Linked DNA regions of Macaca fascicularis. The protein of the gene in region 1 interacts with the protein of each later gene in a pairwise test. Links are inferred from orthologs where the notes say so. Each region holds a gene or a part of one and is shown on either strand. Other genes may lie near its edges.

Evidence for each region.
Region 2: the proteins of DLC1 (region 1) and RASA1 interact in binary tests that used the Homo sapiens proteins (3 or more experiments, as listed by UniProt). The link is inferred for Macaca fascicularis from reciprocal best matches to the Homo sapiens genes DLC1 and RASA1.

Annotation. Positions count from the first base shown.
Region 1 is NC_088382.1:16,033,885-16,037,710, reverse strand, and holds part of DLC1 (rho GTPase-activating protein 7), read left to right. Parts: intron 1-1,661; coding exon 1,662-1,835; intron 1,836-2,194; coding exon 2,195-2,315; 3' UTR 2,316-3,826. UniProt on the Homo sapiens protein: Functions as a GTPase-activating protein for the small GTPases RHOA, RHOB, RHOC and CDC42, terminating their downstream signaling.
Region 2 is NC_088380.1:91,374,363-91,378,133, forward strand, and holds the end of RASA1 (ras GTPase-activating protein 1), read left to right. Parts: intron 1-509; exon of another isoform or gene 510-628; intron 629-697; coding exon 698-832; intron 833-2,061; coding exon 2,062-2,145; 3' UTR 2,146-3,169; downstream 3,170-3,771. UniProt on the Homo sapiens protein: Inhibitory regulator of the Ras-cyclic AMP pathway. Stimulates the GTPase of normal but not oncogenic Ras p21; this stimulation may be further increased in the presence of NCK1.

The DNA.
Region 1 (3,826 bases):
TAAGACTTTGTTTCTAAATAAACAGAACAAAACATATGCCTCCAGAAAAGTAGTGAACACCTTCAAATGTGGAAAACAGATCTACATTTATTCTAGCAATGTGTTCCTCACTGAGAATGGCTTGAACTCCTTGGTAACTGAGCTCGGAAAGAGAGGCGCCTTCCAATGAATATGCTCATTGGTAGCAGATTTTTGCCCCTTTTAGGATAGATTTTCTTGTCAGAAACAGCTAGTGAATGAATAAGCCAGGAAATAACATTTGAGTCCCAAGGGAGATGTGGTTAAGGCTGATTTATGTGTAATTCATAAATTCTCTTGAGATATTACTGAAAGAAGAATTCCAAAAATCTTTGAGGAAATGTCATGTTGGAAGTCCAGACCTTTTCAAACAGCCAGTGCTCCTTTAGGTGTCTGTGTTCCAAGACATTTGTGAAATAGAAAAAATTGTTTTAAGCTACACTTCAAATTGGCTCTTTTTTCAAAGAGGAGGCTGTCTGAGCATATAAACCCTCTGTAACAGCGACTCTGTACAGAGTTCCTCATTCGGGAGTCCTTGTATAGTGTCTTCGTGCATATAATACTAATACTGCTCTAACAGAATGTCACAGACCGGGCAATTTATAATGAACAGATATTTATTTGGCTCTTGGTTCTAAAGGCTGGGAAGTCCAAGATCAAGGAGTTGCATCTGGTTGTTTGTTTGTTGTTTGTTTGTTTGATTTGGGGACATGGTTTCATTCTGTCACCCATGCCAGGGTACAGTGGCAAGCTCATGGCTCACTGAAGCCTTCACCTCCCAGGCTCAAGCAATCCTCCCCCCTCAGCCTCCCCAGTAGTTGGTACTACAGGCATGTGCCACCATGCCTGGCTAACTTGTTGATTGTTTCTGGTGGTAACATGGTTTCACCATATTGTCCAGGCTGGTCTCAAACTCCTGGGCTCAAGCGATCCTCCTACCTCAACCTCCCAAAGTGCCAGGATTTCAGGCATGAACCACCATGCCCAGCCTAGTGAGGGTCTTCTTACTGTGTCCTCCCAGAGTGGAAGGGCAAAGAGAGGGCAAGGGAGAGCAAAAGAGAAAATGTGCAGCTTTAAGCCATTTTTATTTATATATTTATTTATTTTGAGATAGAGGGTCTCACTTTGTTGCCCAAGTTTGAGTGCAGTGGCATGATTACAGCTTAAGCAATCCTACCATCTCAGACCCCCAAGTAGCTGGGATTACAGGAGCACACCACCATGCCTGGCTAATATTTTTTATTTTTAGTAGAGATGAGGTCTCACTATGTTGCCCAGGCTGGTCTTGAACTCCTGATCTCAAGCAATCCTCCCTCCCCAGCTTCCCAAAGTGCTGGGATTAAAGGCGTGAGCCACGGAACCCAGCCTCAAGCTCTTATAATTGCCATTAATCCAGCTCCCATTAGGCCCCACCTCCCAACACTGTTGTATTGGGGATTCAGTTTCTAGCACATGCTTTTTGGGGAACACATGTACACCATAGCAAGTAGCTTAGAGGATGCCATTTATCTAGGCCTGGGCCACACAGCACAGCCACTGAGCCTGACCCATCACCCCACTGCAAATAGGGAAGAGTGAAGCATGATTTTAAACTTGGCTTCTATGAAATTGCATCATTTCCGCCTCTGGTTTTGTCTCTACAGAACCTGGAGGACTAATTTACCCAAAGGAGCCTGTGCCCTTTTACTGACCTCCGTGGATCACGATCGGGCTCCTGTGGTGGGTGTGAGGGTTAATGTACTCTTGTCCAGGTATTTGATTGAACCCTGTGGGCCAGGAAAATCCAAGCTCACCTACATGTGCAGAGCTGACTTAAGGTATGTTCTGATTCTGATTTTTTTAATACGGTGAGGGTCATGAAGGAAATTCAGACTTTTTGTTTAATGCAAAGAATGCCCTAAATGAACACATCATTGTTTCCTGGTGACTTCATGAAGAGTGGTGTTTATACAGTAGCATTTCATGTTTGTTGGTCTTCCAGCGACCGCTTCCTAATTTGGATCCCTTAGAAAATGTAGTTCTAAAGCAAAGCAAATACGGTAGCTTGGCCATGAATTCAAAGCCACAGGAAGTGATAGATTTTATGCATTTGAACTAGCAAACAGACGTTTGTCATTTTATTTCCATGCTTTCTAACTTAAATGATTCATCTGCTTTTCTTTCTTTTCTCTGATAGGGGCCACATGCCAGAGTGGTACACAAAATCTTTTGGACATTTGTGTGCAGCTGAAGTTGTAAAGATCCGGGATTCCTTCAGTAACCAGAACACTGAAACCAAAGACACCAAATCTAGGTGATCACTGAAGCAAAGCAACCGCTTCCACCACCAGGGTGTTTGTTTCTAGAACCTTTGCCAGTCCTTGAAGAATGGGTTCTGTGTCTAATCCTGAAACAAAGAAAACTACGTGCTGGAGTGTAGGAATTGACTATAGCAATTTGATACATTTTTAAAGCTGCTTCCTGTTTGTTGAGGGTCTGTATTCATAGACCTTGACTGGAATATGTAAGACTGTGCAAAAAAAATGTATTTGTATTCTTATTCAAATTGCTTCTGAGAAGCAAAACTCTTTAGATACATTATGGAAGATAATGAAGATACTTCATTCTCTCGTGATATCGGTGTATGCGTACCTGTGTCGCTTTATTTGCAGTGTGCTGAGGGACTGGTGTATCCACTGGAATAGCTGGTACTCTTTGACGTGTTTTCTCACCAAGATGAGCAAAGAAAGGTTTGCACAGAGGAGTGTGAATGTGTGTTTGTTGCTGGCTGAATGGCAATAGATGTCTAAGATGGATTCAGTGTCTGGCACACTGAGACACCTCCAAGAAGGAGATTGATGCGTCAGGTTCAGTTTAACCTGGAATATCTGACTACCCGTGAATCCACCCAGAAAGGGGACCCGACACCCTTGTCCGTTTATGCTTTGTTGTTTTTTTTTTCCAAGTTACTAAGCGTATTCCTTCTCCACCAACCTCTTTTGTACTTTGATTGAATATAGATTGGCTCTGACACCCATTTCAAATGCAGTTTCTTTGTAGACCTGATTGCAAATAGTGATGTAGTTTTAACCAGTATGGATTAGTTCAGGGATGAACTGCTCCCTCCGGCCTTACTGGCTGTGATCCACAGGGTTTTGTTTTGTTTAAGTTGAGATGTAAAAACTGAACGTGATAACACTTACTCTTAAATCAAGCATCAAAACGTTTTCCCTGTTAGAATTCTTTGCATTTTTGTGTTTGTAACAGAAACGCTTTAGGACACTATGTTTGGGAATATAGGAAACTGTGTGGCCCAAGGAAATCCCTGTAAATTTAACCCGCCTAGGAAAGGCTTTTTCCCCCGCCTTTGGTTGTTAACGGCATTCCCGAAAGCCACATGTGTTTATTAATTGGGTTTGTTCTTATCAATAGGTTTTCTGGTTTTATGACCTTTTGTCTTATTTTATTTTTCCTACATTTCTTTCTTTTTTTTCCTTTAGAATGCCCTTGAAATATATTTAAGTGGTAATGAAAAATAGGAATCATAGTAAAAAACAACAAGAAAACCAACTCAAACCAGTGAAGTTTTTTAGAAGGGTGGTCTTTATTCAGGTTTTACTGGAATGGTAAGGATTGACTCAAGAGACAGTATTAGTAAATTTATTTTGTATGGATCAAAAGTGAATAATGTATGAATGAGAGTTGTAAGAAGGATTTTTATTTTGTTATAATGTAGTTACCATTTTCAGTGTTATTTCAAAGGTTCTTTGAAGAATTTCGGGGCAGGGGGTCAGATTAGAGTTTTAAAATTTGAGTATTTTGGATATCA
Region 2 (3,771 bases), on another chromosome or scaffold:
TATTCTGAACACAGTCCACAGATAATGTCTAACTTGACATGTTCTCACTGCATTTTCATAGTGCAGTTCCTACTTATATGCATATCAACTTAGACAAACTACAGAAGCTTAATAATGAAATTTCATCTAGGAATTTTAAGTATAGGCTGCATTTAATCCAGATTAGCAGTTAACCTACACTATTTGGCATATGTTCTATATTTCAGATATAAAGCTAATTGTTAGGAAGCCACATCCCCCGACCCTTATTTTTAGAATAGCAATAATATTTTACCACATCTGTCATGCTATGGAAAAAAATAGAATCTGGCTTAAATGTGAATACAAAGGTTACAGAGTCTATATTTTACCATCATTAATGCTGAATTTTATATTTCAATAAGAATCTTCAGAATTTTAAGAAATTTGAGAATTAAAAAAAATTAATATACTCAATTAGAATATTTTCACATGAGACTATAAAGATTTGTATTTCTAACAAAAAATTAGCCGGGCATGGTGGCAGGCACCTGTAATCCTAGCTACTTGGGAGGCTGAGGCAGGAGAATCACTTGAACCCGGGAGAAGGAGGTTGCAGTGAGCCGAGATCATGCCATCACACTCCAGCCTGGGCAACAAGAGCGAAACTCTGTCTCAAAAAATTAAAAAAAAAAAAAAGATTTGTATTTCTAAATGCAATTTTACAATTCCCTTAAAGAACGTACCTGAACTTCCGGACACTACAGAACATTCTAGAACGGACCTGTCCCGTGATTTGGCAGCACTGCATGAGATTTGTGTGGCTCATTCAGATGAACTTCGAACGCTCAGTAATGAGCGTGGTGCACAGCAGGTAGGCTTTTGCCAGCCTTCATTAACAATGATGTTTCAAGGATAACACTTTGAGAGGTGGTAAATAACTGAATTCTGGTTAACATTTTTTCTTGTTACATTAAATTTTTGAGACTCTGCATCATATTAACAAAAGATCTCAGCAGACAGAAATAACGGGCCCAGACTAAAATGATGTACATTTAATACTGAAAAACATCAGGTTTTGCTCTTGAGTCTGCATCTTAATTCTACTGGAAAGCAGTGTAACTGTTAACATACTTTGGCGACGTATGTGAAAATGGCTAGTAAGTCAGTATTGATTTTTTTTTTCTTTCAGTTTCTGTCTCTTCTCTGTCACATACAGATACAGTGCATGGCCAAAGTGATTCTCAAATTGTGAAACAAATGATTATTATTTGGGATGTTTGTCAAATTCACATCCAGAGATTCTGAAGTGTGGCCTTGAAAGCTGCACATCTAGCAAACTCTTCCAGGAATTTATAGGGATTCTGATGCAAGTGAACCATGGCCTACACTTTTGAGAAACAGTAGACTACATTGATAGACTTTTCTATCTGCCATCTGCACCAAACAGATACAGATTAGGATGTATTCAAAGAGACTTAACACCAGGTCAATTAAGATACTGGAGATACAGAACAAAACGGGTTACATTTTCAATGTCCTCAGCTGACATAAGGGCCACTGAGAAGAAGTGACCACAGGGACAGTTTTGACTAGTTTCTAATGTAGTTTCAGGAGATAGTGAATGCTGTCACCGCACTGGCTAACCATTTGGCAGGGATTTTGTAGAAGGGATTAAAGCATTGAATTTGGTGACTGAGTTCTCTACAATCTGAGATTCTAGAATCCTCAAGTCCTGTTCCTCCGAGCCCCCCACCCCCCAGCTTTCAAAGCTAATAATATGACTTGCCTTAAATATTAAATTAAAAGACCTTTAAAGAGAGGTAAACTGCTTCTGGCAAAATGTGATAGTGATAGTTCTGGCCTAAAAAACAGGAGCATGCCAAACACAAATTTCTGTTCACTATATATAAAAATTCTCTTAGTTATGACCAGAAATACTCAGCCAATGACTGAATAATAGAAACTTATGTTTTGAGTGGAATTGTGCTAATATTTTATGCATCCCTTTGCTTTGATATGGCTTTTTTCAAATCCAGGTTCCCATCCTGAAATTGCTGACCGAGCTTTCATTTATTTTCATACCATTTTTCCTCTGTCTAGCACGTACTGAAAAAGCTTCTGGCTATAACAGAACTGCTTCAACAAAAACAAAACCAGTATACAAAAACCAATGATGTCAGGTAGCAGCCTTCGCCCCAGTGTTCTGCATGGATTCATCATGCCCAACATGGTAATTCACTTCAGTATAATATCTCCTTTGCTCTTGCCAAAAAATAGCACACTTTTCCACATTCCAATGATGTGTGAGCTATGCAAACAAAATCCAAGATTCTGCTAGTGCATAACTATGCCAGCAACCTTGTAAGCTATCTGTGCAGGATATTTGCACTATTTCCACATGGAATCAATCTTTAACAACCTCTGAGCCTTGGTGTACAGATCACCTTTCACAAAACAAAATGCTATGACTGTATCTTGAACTTTGAAAATATATTTTCAGTACACCCAGTTGCCAAAGTTTTGCTCTCTCTTAGAGAAAGAACTATGAAATCAACTGACACATTCTCTTATTGACAATTGTGTATAACTGGATTGCAGACTGTTCTTACTGTAACTACTTCCTGATTAGGAATATGACCATTTGACTGTTCAATGATTATTTGTATTTACAGTTTCCAGAGTTTGTCATTATAATAGGAACAATCTTTGCTGTATACTTTTAAAAAATACTGTGCTATTTCTCTTGCTGGAACTGTTGAAAGAAAATATATAGAATGATCTATTGCTCATCAGCTTTATTTTTTAAACATACTACTTATTTTGTTGAAATTGTCAAAGACTGTATTTAGATCTCATAATGCTTTGTTAAATGTTTACAACAGTAAATAGTTTGAATTCAGTAAATATTATTGGTTGTTGTATTGATCAATGCATGTTACCCCTTCATTTCATAGACTACCAGTTTCTTTTATGTTAACTAGAATGTTTTTGTTAAAAGTTATTTGTTCATTATTTGTGCTACCCTACCCCTTTGATTATGCAGACAAACCTCATCAGCTGCCTAACTTATCCATCTTTGAACTTCTGACTACTTGTTGTATCTGCTGGACATTTAGTTCAACTGTATAGTTTTATTTACTTCTGTATGTGTATTTTTGTGAAGTATTCACAAAGGTTAAGTTAAAATAAAACCAAGGGATATCTTGCATAATTGATTACTTCTGTCTAAATAGAGCTAAGCATTTAATTTATTTTCTTCCTCCTTCAGGGGCAGTTTAAACCTTAGCACCAGAGCAAGGCCCAGGGAGAAGCTGAAGCTTTAGATCAGTATTTTTGCTAATGGCCTCTTTTGAAAAGGATTCTATATATGCAGCAATTCCTTCCATCTCATAATTGTGCAGGGCAGGTATGACATATGGAACATATGTGGCAGAATGACATTGGTAATAAAAGTGGGTGAGACAGGAACCCAAGGAGGTGTTCTTACAGTAAGGAAAGGCCTAGATTCCAAGAGCAACACTTTATGCTGTTCCTCTAATGTATAAAATACAGGAAAAAAAAATGCTAAAGGTTTAAAAGATGTCTGCTTAACAGTTTCAAGCTACAAAAGGCAATTATTTCTATGGGGGCTGCTAACCTCTGTGGCTTCAATCACAGTTTAACATTGATACCAAAAATCTCAACATGTCCCGTGCTCCTTTTCCTTGAAATCAACTCAATTCATTCCATTCTCTCCCTTCCTGGCTTTTTTATCAAATTACTCTCCTTTCCATCCCTTCTGTTTTATAGCTGGACTTGGAACAACCCAGG